2 linked regions of the Anolis sagrei genome follow. The protein of the gene in region 1 purifies or fractionates together with the protein of each later gene. This does not show direct contact. Links are inferred from orthologs where the notes say so. Each region holds a gene or a part of one and is shown in the gene's direction. Other genes may lie near its edges.

Evidence for each region. Proteins that work in one complex are often made in the same cells at the same time.
Region 2: the proteins of TMEM43 (region 1) and BZW2 purify together in Homo sapiens (affinity purification with mass spectrometry; 3 studies listed by BioGRID and IntAct, counting the BioPlex papers as one, with this or other methods). This does not show direct contact. The link is inferred for Anolis sagrei from reciprocal best matches to the Homo sapiens genes TMEM43 and BZW2.

Annotation. Positions count from the first base shown.
Region 1 is NC_090022.1:52,196,483-52,203,995, reverse strand, and holds the start of TMEM43 (transmembrane protein 43), read left to right. Parts: upstream 1-4,425; 5' UTR 4,426-4,491; intron 4,492-7,513. Other genes in the region: CHCHD4 (mitochondrial intermembrane space import and assembly protein 40), read right to left, coding at 4,080-4,101. UniProt on the Homo sapiens protein: May have an important role in maintaining nuclear envelope structure by organizing protein complexes at the inner nuclear membrane. Required for retaining emerin at the inner nuclear membrane.
Region 2 is NC_090026.1:96,118,775-96,127,004, reverse strand, and holds the start of BZW2 (eIF5-mimic protein 1), read left to right. Parts: upstream 1-4,809; 5' UTR 4,810-4,995; intron 4,996-8,230. Other genes in the region: ANKMY2 (ankyrin repeat and MYND domain-containing protein 2), read right to left, coding at 4,410-4,476. UniProt on the Homo sapiens protein: Translation initiation regulator which represses non-AUG initiated translation and repeat-associated non-AUG (RAN) initiated translation by acting as a competitive inhibitor of eukaryotic translation initiation factor 5 (EIF5) function.

The DNA of each region.
Region 1 (7,513 bases):
AAACGAACATTACATTTTTATTTATATAGATTTAAGTGATATTAAGAAAACTCATTACAGGAGTGGTTGTGCTGATCTGCTTCAGAAGAAAAAATGAAAGAGAAACTTGTAGCACCTTAAAGATCTATCACAAATACACTATAGACTAATCTTCCATAGTTTTAGAGCCTATAATCGCCCAAGGGCTGAGAAAAGCGGTATATAAATGAAATAAATAAATAAATAATCCAGGGATAGGAATCATGTTGCCTTCCAGATACTGCTGAACTGTAAGTCCCAGCAGCCTTAGCCAGCACAGTCAATTGTGAGGAATGCTGGAGTTTTAGTCCAGCATCGGGAAGTCGGCATGACTCTCACCCCTGTTATAATCCATGAAATATATGACACAAGCTGATTTCTTACTTTTCAAGGTACCAAAATTGCCAGGTAAAAATCAAAGCCACAACTTTTTGTATACCGCTTGCCAAAGCGTATCTCTAGGCAATCAATAAATATAATAATATCTTTAAAAGTAAATAAACAACTTTTATTTAGCCTTAAATCCACGTATTACTTTTATTTAAACTGCTTTACTAAATGCCTATGATTTTATTATTATCCTACAGCAATTACTTTGTGTTCATTTAGCTTTTCATTAGACTATGTCCTCAACTGTACCCTATTAAATCAAACGCTGTAATTTATGCTTCTGTTGGATGTTACCATGTGATCCTTACACAACTTGACAGCAGTTGCTAGTCAGTGTCATCATTCACTCCGTTCTATGTGCAAGGAAAGGGAAAATTGAAAGAAATGTAAAGAGAAAACTCAATGAGCCTTCACACTAAGAATGAGGAAAAGAACAACTTCTAAAATCAACACCAAGAACTAAATACGATCATAAAAATGAGAACATAAAATACATACAAGGCCTACTACTCACTCAGCAATAAATCTATGTCAAGGAGCAAGAATGTGTTAGATAATGCTGCCAGGTAGTGAAACGGCCTTCTGTTTAATCAACTTCATAAACATAATGGGGAAATAAAATATGCAAAATCCCAATGTTAAGCCATCATTAGTCCTCAGAATAAAATGATCAAGAGTGATGCTTGATTTAAAGGTATCAAATATATCCTATGTTTTGATTTCCACTTGTTTTCACCTACAGAATAACTTATGGTACAAAAAATGTCAAACTATCCCTTCCATGGGAACAAGGATTGGGAAAGTGAAGCTGCCTCACAGATCCAATTTTAGCAATCCAAAAAGCTATCTCAAAGCTTCCTGACCTGCCTTATCAGCAACTAGGCCAAAAGATTTCCCTTATGTCAGTGTCTGCTTTCCATACAGAAATATACCATAGGTTCAGACTGACAGGAACAGCCTTGGGAGCTGAATGCTGCCATAGAGTTGCTCGTTGCCACACATGTTCCAAGGTGATGTTAGTGTAGCCTAAGCAACCTTGATATACTGTATATACTCAAGTATATGCTGAGTTTTCAGCTCTTTTTTTAGGATGAAAAAGCCTTCCTCAGCCTATATTTGAGTCAAAGTTATTTATCATTTTACTCTGTAATTATTATTTTTATTACATTTATTATTTTACTCTATTTTTATTATTATTACATTTACATTATTTTACTCTATTATTATTTTTATTACATTTATTATTTTACTCTATTACTATTGGAAGAATATGTAAGCACATTTACATTGAAGGTTAGAATAATGATTTAATCAGGGTTGGGCAGTCTTATCTTAAATAACAGTTTTATGTAAATATTCAAAAACATTTAACCTAGTAATGCCTCAATTAATGTAATTGAGGACATTGGTATCTATTTTTATTTTGAAATTTACCAGTAGCTGCTGCATTTCTCACCCTTGGCTTAGACTCGAGTCAATACGTTTTCCAAGTTTTTTTGTGGTAAAATTAGGTGTCTCAGCTTATATTTGGGTCGGCTTATACTCAAGTATATATGGTATACATTTTGAGCCCTACCACCTCCAAAGTACCTTTCAAACAGAAGACTGTAATATGCACTGTAGCGTGTCTCCTGCCCTTGGAAAGAAAAGATGTAGATAGGCTTCCATGTTTCTTGGGAATGCAACCTTTTAGAATCAAAGTTGAAAAAGACCCAAGAGTCATTTAGCCCAATCCCTTTCTGCCATGCAGCAATGCATAATCAAAGTACTTCCAATAGGTGGTCATTCAGCTTGTTTAAAAACCTACAAAGGAGGAGCCTCAGCCATGCTCCAGGGAAGCGTATTTCACTGGCAAATCCGTCTTACTGTCAGGAAGTTCTTCCTAATTTTAGTTAGAATCTCTTTTCCTGTAATTTGAATCCATTGCTCTGTGTTTTCTGAGCAGTAGAAAACAAGCTTTTAATACTCTACCTATCCAGAAATATTGAAGAGTAAGTTAGGAGGAAAATTTCAAACCCATACCCTTTCTCAAGAATATCTCAATATGGCAGAGGTTCAGCCACATGACTCCCAATGAATGACCTTGAATCTCACCTGGTTGACCTCACAGGGTTCTCTCCCAAGCAAGAACAAGGAAAAAACCTAGATAAAACCTCAACAAAGATGCAAAGTAAGTGCTATATCTATTCCTTTCACGTTGAATTTTGTCTTTTGTGAAAAATTAACTTAAACATGTGAAGTTCATACAAGATGGCTATCCCTTAGAACAGGCATGGGCAAACTTCATCCAGCAAGGTGTTTTGTACTTCAACTCCCATAATTCCTAATAGCCTACCAGCTGTTAGGAATTGTGGGAGCTGAAGTCCAAAACACCTGGAGGACCCAAGTTTGCCCATGCTTGTCTTAGAAAGACTGTTTTAGCTATGTGTTCCTATACAGCAGAGGATTGGACTAGATGGGCCTTCCCACTTCTAAGTCGTTGGTCCACAAACTGCTTATGATTACTAGCCTTTTGATACCAGAGTTACTCTTTACACAACATCTAGTCTATTGTCCTTCTTAACTGAGAACGAATCTACAGTGTAGAACAGGGGTCCTCAAACTAAGGCCCGAGGGCCGGATGCAGCCCTCCAAGGTCATTTACCCGGTCCTCGCTCAGGGTCAACCAAAGTCTGAAATGACTTGAAAGCATACAACAACAATAATCCTATCTCATCAGCCAAAAGCAGGCCCACACTTCCCATTGAAATACTAATAAGTTTATATTTGTTAAAATTGTTCTTCATTTTAATTATTGTATTGTTTTTAAGTGTTTTTTGCACTACAAATAAGATATGTGCTGTGTGCATAGAAATTCATTATCCTTTTTTCAAATTATAATCTGGCCCTCCAACAGTTTGAGAGACTATGACCTGGCCCTCTGTTTAAAAAGTTTGAGGACCCCTGCTGTAGAATTAATGCAGTTTTCAAAATCCAATTATCACAGGATGAAATCTTTTGAACAGCGGCACAGACAGCAAAACAACACCACAGGGGTGTTCACCCTTCCCTATATTATCTAAACCTGGTGTGTGTGTGTATCTATCTATCTGGAACTATACTGAAAAAATGATCTGACTTATTTTATTTATATCTTGCTTTATCTCTCAAAGCAGACACTCAAATCAGCTCCCAATCAAAAACACTACAAACTAAAATATAAAATAATAATAGAGTATATCATTATATATTGTTATATATTATCAGTAGTATCAGATATAATATCTTAGCCTTATTATATTACAATGTTATTATATATTCTACTGTATTATTACTATATTGTATTACATTATTATAATAAGAACAAATTTACATAACCTATCTTGCTCGTAATTTGGGGACTTCCTGTAATCTAGTTTAAAATCAGATAATCTGTTTTCAGAAACTGGATTGTAGGTCCAGTGCAGGTGAGACCTGGGTCACCTTGGTGCATCTGCACTGTAGAAATAATGCACTTTGACCCCATTTTAACCTCTGGATTTGCGAAGAATCCTTTTCCTTTGACAGAGAAGGCTGAAGACCTTGTAAAGCTACAACTCCCAGGAGCCCTTCGCCTTGGGTCCTTCGCTTGGGGCCCGAGGCCTGCTCTGCCTCCTTCCTCCCCTCCCCTCCTGCCAGAGATCCCCGGGTACCTTCTTGCCTGCAGTAGGACATGGCCCTCAGGAAAGCCCGGCCAAAGAAGGGCTCTCTCTTTCTCTCTCTCTCTCTCCGCCTCGAAAGCCTCCTTGAAGAAGAAGAGGGGAAAAACGGTGCGGGAGGGAGGCGGCAACCACGACACTAAACCACGCCGAGAAGCCGTTACTCCCTTACGGCCTTGCGCCTCCCGGCATGCTTCGCGACCTTCACGCAATGACCCTCCCCGCCATGCTGTGCGTCAAACGACGTGCGTCCTGTTTTGGAAGACTACAACTCCCGGCATGCTTCGAAACCGCGCGCATGTGTTCTTGAAAAGGGGCGGGGCCTTGTGCAGGGCGGTGGGCGTGGCTTTGCTTGGCGACTAGTTGGAGTGTGTTCTCTCGGTGTTTAAAGCAAGACTGGAGAAAAGTGAGTATGGATTCCTTCTTATTCCTTCTCTACTTAAATAGGGTTTGTTTTGAGTGGGGAAAGTACTAAAAGTTTTGTGAAATTAAAGTTTCACTTGCATTTCACACACCTGGAATACTGTGTCCAATTCTGGGCACCTCAATTCAAGAGAGATATTGACAAGCTGGAATGTGTCCAGAGGAGGGCGACTAAAATGATCAAGGGTCTGGAGAACAAGCCCTATGAGGAGCGGCTTAAGGAGCTGGGCATGTTTAGCCTGAAGAAGAGAAGGATGAGAGGAGACATGATAGCCATGTATAAATATGTGAGAGGAAGCCACAGGGAGGAGGGAGCAAGCTTGTTTTCTGCCTCCTTGGAGACTAGGACGTGGAACAATGGCTTCAAACTACAAGAGAGGAGATTCCATCTGGACATGAGGAAGAACTTCCTGACTGTGAGAGCCGTTCACCAGTGGAACTCTCTGCCCCGGAGTGTGGTGGAGGCTCCTTCTTTGGAAGCTTTTAAACAGAGGCTGGATGGCCATCTGTCAGGGGTGCTTTGAATGCAATATTCCTGCTTGTTGGCAGGGGGTTGGACTGGATGGCCCATGAGGTCTGTTCCAATTCTTTGATTCTATGATTTTATGAATTTAGCAGTGCATCTAGACCAGGCATGGGCAAACTTTGGCCTTCCAAGTGTTTTGGACTCCAACTCCCACAATTCCTAATAGCCTGCCCTAGGTCCAAAGTCTGTAGATTAGCGTTTCTCCACCTGGGGGTCACGAGGGGGTGTCAGAGGGGTCACAAAAGACCATCAAAAAACTTTCTGTTGGTCATGGGGGCTTTGTGTGGGAAGTTTGGCCCAATTCTATCATTGGTAGGGTTCAGAATGCTCTTTGATTGTAGGTGAACTATAAATCCCAGCAACTACATCTGCCAAATGTCTATCTTCCCCAAACTCCACCAATGTTCACATTTGGGCATATTGAGTATTTGTGTCAAGTTTGGTTCAGATCCATTATTGTTTGAGTCCTCAGTGCTCTCTGCATGTAAGTGAACTACAACTCCAAAACTCAAGGTCAATGCCCACCAAACCCTTCCAGTATTTTCTGTTTGTCATGGGAATTCTGTGTGCTGAGTTTGGTTCAATTCCATCCATGGTGGAGTTCAGAATGCTCTTTGATTGTAGGTGAACTATAAATCCCAGCAACTACAACTCCCAAATGTCAAGGTCTATTTTCCCCAAACCCCACCATTTTTCACATTTTTTATTAAGTATCTGCACCAAGTTGAGTCTAGATCCTTCATTGTTTGAGTCCTTAGTGCTCTGAATGTAGGTGAACTACAACTCCAAAACTCAGGGTCACTGCCCACCAACCCATCCAGTATTTTCTATTGGTCGTGTGTGCCAAGTTTGGTTCAATTCCATCATTGGGAGAGTTCAGAATGCTCTTTGATTGTAGGTGAACTATAAATCCCATCAACTACAACTCCCAAATGACAAAATCAAAATGACAAAAGAAATGCTGGACCACTCTCACAACCACCATGTCAGACTACACGGAGAAGCCATTGAAATACACAAGCATGTGGACAATTTCAACAGAAAGGAGGGAAAAAAGGGTTTATATATCTGTGGAATGACCAGGGTGAGACAAAGGACTCTTGTCTGCTAGAGCCAGGTGTGAATGTTTAAACTGATCACCTTGATTAGCATTTGATTGCCTGGCAGTGCCTAGAGCAAACTTTTGTTGAGAGGTGATTAGATGTCCTTGTTTGTTTCCTCTCTGTTGTTGTGCTGTTGTAATTTTAGAGTTTTTTAATACTGGTAGCCAGATTGTGTTCATTTTCATGGTTCCTAGTTCCAACAGACCTCACTACTTCTGAGGATGCTTGCCATAGATGCAGGCGAAATGTCAGGAGAGAATGCCTCTAGGCCATGGCCATATAGCCCGAAAAAACCTACAACAACCCAAAATCAATCCCCTTCCCCCCCCCCCGCCAAACCCCCCCCCCCCCAAAAAAAACCTCACCAGCATTCAAATTTGAGTGTATTGGCTATGTGTGCTAGATTTGGTCCAGTGAATGAAAATACATCCTGTATATCAGATATTTATATTACGATTCATAACAGTAGCAAAATTACAATTATGTAGTAGCAACAAAAATAATTTTGTGGTTGGAGGTATTAGGAAGGTTGAGAAACACTGCTGTCGATAGAATTAATGCAGTTTGATCCAACTTTAAGTGCCATAGCTCAGTGCAATGGAATCATGGGAAAGTAAAAGTAATAGGGAGTTTTCCTCTATTCAAGTAAAAGACAAAAATGGAAGATTTCTGATACATCAAACTACTAAAAGTGACAGAACGTTCTTATCAGAGCTGCCTTCCATTCATTCTAACAACTCAAATGGAGCATTATTGATTGATGGGTGCCAGAACTGAGAGAGTGCCATTTATGGACTGGATGTACACTGTAGCGAGGTAAAGTGTGCCTTAACACTTGCAAGCGAAGAAAAGCAGAAAGTGCTTGTTGAGCCCTGCAAGTGATCTCAGCCTGAAACAATTCACAGACGCCCTTTCTTAAGAGGACAGCTGTGCTGGCGAGAAGCAACTTAAAAGAAGATAGGAGCAACACTGTACATACCGGTTTGCAGGACAGTAGGGCACCTGTACTGTAGAATTAATTCAGTTTGGCACCACTTTGATTGCCATGGCTCAGGGTGATGGAATCATGAGAATAGTAGTTGGGGTATATACCAGCACTCTTTGGGAGGGTGAAAGACCTTGTAAAACTACAACTCCCATGCTTCCCTAGCATTGAGCCATGGGATCAAACTGCACTCATCATCCAGTGTAGAAAGTACACTATACACAGTGTAGATGTACTTTCCTGGAAATAATTTATTTATTGCATCAGAAACGAATTGAGAATACAGTTATAATGTATAAAAAAACCACAAAGGTAAAACTTGGCATTATACTAAATGTCCTTTGACCAGAAACTGGCAACTTGGAGTTCCTCTGTTGTTGCTGTAAGAAGG
Region 2 (8,230 bases), on another chromosome or scaffold:
GAATGGCTTTTGAAAAAAGAGTTTAAGATTCATGGTTTATTACAGAAATTGCAGTGCTGATTTCTGACTCATAGTAAGTTTAAAAGACATTTTTGCTGGTTAATATTCCTCCTCAATGCATGGAAGTAATATGGAAGTAATTAGCCTGCATTATTTTTGCTACCAGACTTATTACTTGTTAAACAGAGCTGGTGTGGAGACACCAACTAGGGATGAACAACTGGATGAAGCTAGACTCTGTTTAAGATATGTAATGGTTCTGTGTTAACATGATCTAAATACAAACGAGAAATCTTGTGAAAAGTGAACCAGATTGTAGTTTCCTTGTATACATATTAAAGAATGTAGACACACTCACATGAACTGTATTTGAACACTTATAGAGTGGTAACTCCAGGAGAACTGTGCTTTTTACTGGGTGATTGTAACTAATATGTATTGATTAAAATTATTAGTTTCTTGGCTTTGTCCATACGCTTACAAGCAATGCCTAAATGTGTTGCTTGTAAAAATATTGATGTAATAGCCGTTTCCTAATTAGAATAAAGTTTTGACTTACTGTGCCAATTAAGCTGAGTATGTGGCTGATCTCTTAAAAGACCACTACTATCTTCTGCAGCAGAAAAATGAATTCATTTTATTTATTTTATAGACTACCTTTTGCCTAAGAAATTGGCTACATTAGTAGCACATGCAAAATTGATACCAAATCAGTTGATAGCACATGAAAAAAATATGTACTGATTTTTTAAAAATGACAAATAAAGTAGAAACGCCTTAAAAGTTTGTGGATTCTGTTTTGAGCATGCAATAGAGCAGATTATCACATAACAGCTCTCATGATATCAACAAGCTGCATTATGCACATAATGGATTTTACAATATATATACAACATATGCAATTTCACACACACGTGCGTGTAGTGATTTATGCTACGATTTTGTTGCTTTCTTTATTCCCGATCTCTGTGTAGTAATCTGCCTAGAATGGTGAAACTTTGTCACCACCAGTCTATTCATAAAGGAAGGCAAATTCTGAATTCAAAACGAGACTGCAATGCCTCTTTGTTTCCAATATGCTTTTAAAAAGATAAAACCGTGAACCGCAACAAGGTTGCAAAGGAGGAACGCTGTTTAGGTTCTGCTACTGACAAGGCCTGTGCAATATGACAGTAAACAAAACATTGGGTTTTCACATTGGCAATCCAGCTCAACTTGTGTGACTTGCACTGAACCTTTCCCTAAAAGAGGAATGAAAAACTGCCCAGGGATTGGGTTAGACAGTTGCAGCCAATCCAGGGGCTGCATAAATTGCTGCCGAAGACAGAAAAAGAGATACAGACACAAGAGTAAGTATTTATGGTGTGGAATAGTACAGGGAAGCATTGCTATTGATTTAAAAGGTGAATTGCTATTTGGCACAACTCACTTTCATTGGCTGGAAAACAGAAAGATGCTTGGAGGGATCAAAGGCCACAAAAAGAGGCTTGGCAAGGCACTATCAAACAGCTATCCTCAAACTCCAGCCATCCAGCTGTTTGGGACTTCAACTCTCAGAATTCATGACCATTGAACAAGTTAACTGGGCTTCTGGAAGATGGAAATCCAAATTGTAGGATGGCTGGAGTTTCAAGATGCCTGCTGTAAAACAAATGCGGCTCAACATCACTTCACTTGCCATGGCTCAGTGCTATGGAATCCTGAGAGTTGTAGTTTGGTAAAGGACCAGCACTCTTGAACAGAGAAAGCTCAAGACATTGTAAAATGATAATACACAGGATTCCTTTGAAGTGAGCCATTTCTTTGCATTGAGCCGAGCAGTGTCAAACTGCACCAATTCTACAGTGTAGATCAGTGGTTCTCAATCTGTGTTTTGGCCTTCAACTCCAAGAAATCCTAATAGCTGGTAAACTGGCTGGGATTTCTGGGAGTTGTAGACCAAAACACCTGGGGCCTCGCAGATTGAGAACAACTGGTGTAGAAGTACTCTTAAGGCTGGTTCTGCATGGATGACTCAATGCTATTGGATCCTGGCTAAGGGATCCAGCCATGGCTCCATGCTATGGGATCCTAGGATGTGCAGCTTGATGAGGTCCCAGCACTCTTGGGCAGAGAGGGCTTAAAACGTTGTAAAAGTCTTGCTGCCAGGATCTTGTTGATTGGGCTTGGCCCCATATAAGCTGCCTTGAGTCCCTTTGGGGAGATGGGAGTGGGGCATAAAATAAAGTTATTATTATTATTATTATTATTATTATTATTATTATTTGAAACACAACAAGATGAGTCCACAGCAGACACTCTGCTGGCTGTTGACACTTCCTAAGTGTCTAGGACTGTGTGATGTATCAACGAATAATGCATGCAGATCCCAGCAAGGTGGCCTTCTGCAGCTGGCAGATGGTAATTTTGTCAGTGTGATTGTGTTTAAGTGCAGACCAAGGTCTTTAGGCACTGCACCCAGTGAGCCGATCACCACTGGGACCACCTTGATTGGCTTATGCCAGAGTCTTTGCAGTTTGATTTTTAAATCCTCATATCATGTCAGCTTTTCCAGTTGTTTCTCTTCAATCCTGCTGTCACCTGGCATTGCAACATCAACAATCCATACTTTGTTTTTTAACATGAATGTGATTATTATTATTATTATTATTATTATTATTATTATTATTATTTGAAACACAACAAGATGAGTCCACAGCAGACAAGATCACTCTGCTGGCTGTTGTATTGGGTCTATGTTGGACAACATATTGTCGAAGGCTTTCATGGCTGGAATCACTGGGTTGTTGTAGGTTTTTTGGGCTATATGGCCATGTTCTAGAGGCATTCTCTCCTGACATTTCCCCTGCATCTATGGCAAGAATCCTCAGAGATAGTGAGGTCTGTGGACAAGTCTACATAGGGACCACCAAATGCAGCGCCCAAACACGAATCAAGGAACATGAAAGGCACTGCAGACTACTTCAACCAGAGAAGTCAGCCATAGTAGAGCACCTGATGAACCAACCTGGACACAGAATATTATTTGAGAACACAGAAATGCTGGACCACTCCAACAACCACCATGTCAGACTACACAGAGAAGCCATTGAAACCCACAAGCACGTGGACAATTTCAAAAGAAAGGAGGAAACCATGAAAATGAACAAAATCTGGCTACCAGTATTAAAAAAACTCTAAAATTAAAACAGCAAAACAACAGAAGGGAAACAATCTGGGACATCTAATCACCTCTCAACAAAAGATTGCTCCAGGCACTAACAAGCCACACCAAACAACAGCCAGGCCATTAAATGCTAATCAAGGTGGTCAGTTGAAACATTCACACCTAGCTCCAGCAGACAAGAGTCCTTTTTCCCACCCTGGTCATTCCACAGATATATAAACCCCTTTTCCTAGTTCCAACAGACCTCACTACCTCTGAGGATGCTTGCCATAGATGCAGGCAAAACGTCAGGAAAGAATGCCTCTAGAACATGGCCATATAGTCTGAAAAAACCTACAACAACCCACATGTTGGACACTTCCCAAGTGTCTAGGGCTGTGTGATGTATCGGCAAATAATGAGTGCTGATCCCATTAAGATGGCCTTCTGCAGCTGGCAGATAGTAATCTTGTCAGTGCTGATTGTGTTTAAGTGCAGGCCAAGGTCTTTAGGCACTACACCCAATGTGTTGATCACCACTGGGACCACCTTGGCTGGCTTGTGCAAGAGTCTTTACATTATTATTATTGTCGTTATTGTTGTTATTGTTGTTATTATTGTTGTTGTTGTTGTTACCACTGAGCTAGTGTTTCTCAATCTCTGGTGAAGTCCAAAACAAGACTTCAACTCAGTTCTTGTGGGTTTTTTCGGGCTATATGGCCATGTTCTCTAGAGGCATTTCTCCTGACGTTTCACCTGTATCTGTGGCAAGCATCCTCAGAGGTAAGGTCTGCATCTATGGCAAGCATCCTCAGAGGTGACCTCACCTCTGAGGATGCTTGCCATAGATGCAGGCGAAACGTCAGGAGAAATGCCTCTAGAACATGGCCATATAGCCCGAAAAAACCCACAAGAACTGAGTGATTCCAGCCATGAAAGCCTTCGACAATACAAGACTTCAACTCCCAGAATCCTTTGCCATTGGCCATGACAGCTGAGGCTCCTGGGAGTCGAAGTTCCACATAGCTAGAGGGTCAGAGTTTGAGAATCACTGGGTCTCCTTTTCCTGCAGGAACAGCGACTGCCTGTTTTTCTTCCTGGGCGCAAAAGAGAGAGCCTATGGCTTAATGGCTCGCCAAGGAAGACCTGGTTTCTTCTTCTGGACGTTCCCAGGCCCGCCTTGTTTATTGTGAAGCTCCCTCAAGGCTTGGCTGTCCCTTGAACTCCCTCCGACACAGCCAGAGGCACGTTGCGCACGCCTTACCTTTCCCAATGACTTCCAGCAGCTCTTTCTCCTCCTGGCTCAAGTCGCCTTTCTTCGGGGGAGCCATGGCTGCCCTTCTCCTGATAGGAATCCCAAGATGGAGCCCTTCTTCCCTCTTTTCCTTGGCTGGATTCAGGCCTTCAAAGCCCAGCTACGGCGCGGCCACCCGAGACGGACATCTCCCCTCCCGCCGCTCTTTCCTCTCCGCCTCAAAAAACCTCTCAACCTCGCGCGGGCCGAACCACTCTCGCGCCCAAAAAAAAAAAGAGAGACGACGAGCCTAAAACACGGGTCCCTTCCCTCTTTTGAAACCCAGACCCCCCAGCAGTTGTTCCTCATTCCGTACAGGAAGGAAAAGGTGTCCCCAAAGCGAAAGAGACCCAAGTTTATATTCTTTTGTCCTCCCCCCGAAGTTGGACAGAATGGTACGTCCTGGAGGAGGAGGAGGTTGATAAGTGGCTCCGTGCGTGAGTGCGTGTGTCAATGTTGCTGCCCTTCACTTCTTCATTGTCTGCTGCTGGAAGCGTCGCTCCTTCGCCTGTTTCCCCCGTTTCTTCCTTAGAGAGAAGCCCTTTCCCCGAGAGAGGTAAGAAGGGGCCTTTTGGAGAGAAAATAGAGGAAGGAAAGAGGAGGAGGAAAAGGAAAGGGAGGAAAGGCTTGGCTGCACAAAAGAGGAGTCAAGCCGCGTGCCTTTCAAAGGGCCTCCGAAGAAGCCCCCCCCCCCCCGCTCTCTTTGCCTTGCCTGCCCATTGAGCACCTCTTGAAGCTCAAGGGTGAAGAGGAAGCATTTGGTGAACTTGGGCTTTTGTGGTTTTGTGGCTCCCAAGGTGACTCGCAAAGCCTGGCTTTGGAAGGGTTGGTGAAGGGGCAGCGGGAGCTTTCCAAAGCCGTCGGGGAGGCTCAAGGGTCAGTAGGGTTTATCTGCAAGGGATGCCCGCTAGAGCGGTTCGATCCCGCTTTAACCTCCCTCTCATGGAACCCTCTAGGTTACTGAGGTTCTCCAATGCCATCTTTTGAATGAGCCTTTCAGCTCTTGGACAGGGAAGTCTAACAGTGCATCTGTAGTTTATGGATACAGCTTAACACCGCTTTACCTGCCATGAACCCCTTTTAATATAATAATAATAATAATAATAATAATAATAATAATAATTTTTTATTCGTGCCAGGAGCAACTTGAGAAACTGCAAGTTGCTTCTGGTATGAGAGAATTGGCCGTCTGCAAGGACATTGCCCAGGGGATGCCCGGATGATTTGATGTTTTTTATCATCCTTGTGGGAGGCTTCTCTCATGTTCCCACATGAGGAGCTGGAGCTGATAGAGGGAGCTCATCCGCCTCTCCCCGGATTCGAACCTGCGACCTGTCGGTCTTCAGTCCTGCTGGCACAGGGGTTTAACCCACTGTGCCACCAGGGCTCAAAATAATAATAATAATAATAATAATAATAATAATCTTTATTTATAACCTGCCACCATCTCCCCAAACGGGACTCGGGGCGGCTAACATGAGGCCAAGCCCAAAATAATACAACATAGTTAGACACAAAATAGCAGGGAAATACATCATAACAAAATATATAAAATAACAAAATAAACAGTATAAAATGGCATATTAAAATCAAACACAAAGGGCGGGCCAGATGCATGAGATAAAATGTTAAAAGGTTTAAACCCTGGGTGAGATAGGAAAATAAAAGTGCATTTATGAGAGAGGAGCCCGAGAAGGAATCTTATATGGAATCTTATAACCTCATAACACAAGAGAATGAATCCACTTTAAATCCTGTTGCTGCCTCCTACAGATTTCTGCGATTTGTAGTTTAGAGAGGAGCCTTTAACAGGCTCACTAAACTACAAACCCCAGAATTCTGCAGGAGGCAGAAACCAGATTTAAAGTGGATTTGTTCTCTAGTGTGATGAAGTAGTTATAGGATATTGAAGCCTTTGAATTCACTGGGATGTTGTAGGTTTTTTGGACTGTCTGGCCATATTCTAGAAGCATTCTCCTGACATTTCGCCTGCATCTGTGGCAAGCATTCTTAGAGGTTGTGAGGATGCTTGCCACAGATGCTGGCCAAACGTCAGGAGAGAATGCTTCTAGAACATGGCCAGACAGCCCCAAAAAACCTACAACAACCCAGTGATTCTGGCCATGAAAGCTTTTGACAATACCTTTGAATTCAACTCTGCGGCCCCTTGCACACCACTGAATAAAATCCCACATTATCTGCTTTGAACTGGAATGTATGGCAGTGTGGACTTGGATAACCCAGTGCAACGCAGATATTGTGGGATTTTCTGCCTCGGTATTCTGGGATATGGGACTGTGTGGAAAAGCCCTGAGCTCTTCAGTCAGGAAGTCCAAGGATGCATTTACACTGTTGAGATTGAATGAAACTTGACTCTCCTTTAACTGTCATGGCTCTCTCTTGTGGAATCCTGTAGATTGCTGAGCTTCTCCACTTCTGTCCCTCAAATTAGCCTTTGAGTTTTTGGGCAGGGAAGTCTACACTGTAGACTGAATGCAGTTTGGCCCCACTATTAACTGCCATGGCTCAGTGCTGTGAAAGCATAGGAGATGTAGGGTCCTTCCACACAGCCCTATATCCCAGAATATCAAGGCAGAAAACCCCACATTATCTGAGTGTGGACTCAGGACCCTTCCATACAGCCCTGTATCCCAGAATATCAAGGCAGAAAATCCCACAATATCTGCTTTGAGCTGGGTTATCTGAGTCAGATAACCCAGCTCAAGGCGGAAAATCCCACATTTTCTGAGTGTGAACTCCGATAACCCAGTTCAAAGCTGATATTATGGGATTTTCTGCCTTGATATCCCAATATAGGGTTGTGCGGAAGGGCCCTAAATATCTCATGAAACCACATGATTCTGTAGGATGGAGATATGGTAGGGAAAATGGCATCAAACTGCTTGAATTAGACACAAGCAGAGGAGAAGGAAATGTGAAAGGTGATAGAGTAAAGATATTTTGCTGGCATGGACACTGTCAAATTAATGCAGCCCAACACAGCTTTAACTGTTATAGCTAAGTTCTGTGGTATCACAGCTGTTGTCATTTTTAGTCTTTAGCCTTCTCTCCAAAGAATGCTGATGCCTCACAAAACTACTTACCCCAGAATTCCACAACATTGAGCTATGGCAGTTAAAGTGGGGTCAGGCTGCATTAATTTAACAGTGTGGATTTGATGTGCAACTGCAGATATTCCCCCTTTGCTTCCTCTGTTGTCACTTTCGGAAAGCCCCTGGTGAAGGTGACCAAGGAGAGATTTCCTTCTTGCCTTTTTCAGTGAGAACACGGCAAACTGGAAGAAACCGGATTTGGTTCTCTTCTATTCTACAGCAGTGAGGGTGTGAGATGAGAATTGATTTGTTCTGTGGCTGTTAAACAAATCAAGGAGGAGGCTGGTGGTGTTGCTCTGCACGTAGACTCCATAGGGGTTGAGGCAACCTGAACCAGTGTTGTGTACTGAGGCTATTGCCTCTCTCCATCAGAGACTTCGTGTCGCATTTTGGGAGGTTTTGAGTCTCTCAAGACTTGGAACTCAAGGCCCTTCCACACAGCCCTATAGCCCAGAATATCAAAGCAGAAAATCCCACAATATCTGCTTTGAACTGGGTTATCTGAATCCACTCTCAGATAATGTGGGATTTCCTACCTTGATATTCTGGGATATGGGGCTGTATGGAAGGGTCCCCAGATCCCTTGAATGTTGTGCTCTTCCCTCTGAGTAGACCCATATCACTTCCCTCTGAGTATGCCCTTCCTTCTGAGTACACCCATATCTAAGGGTTCATATT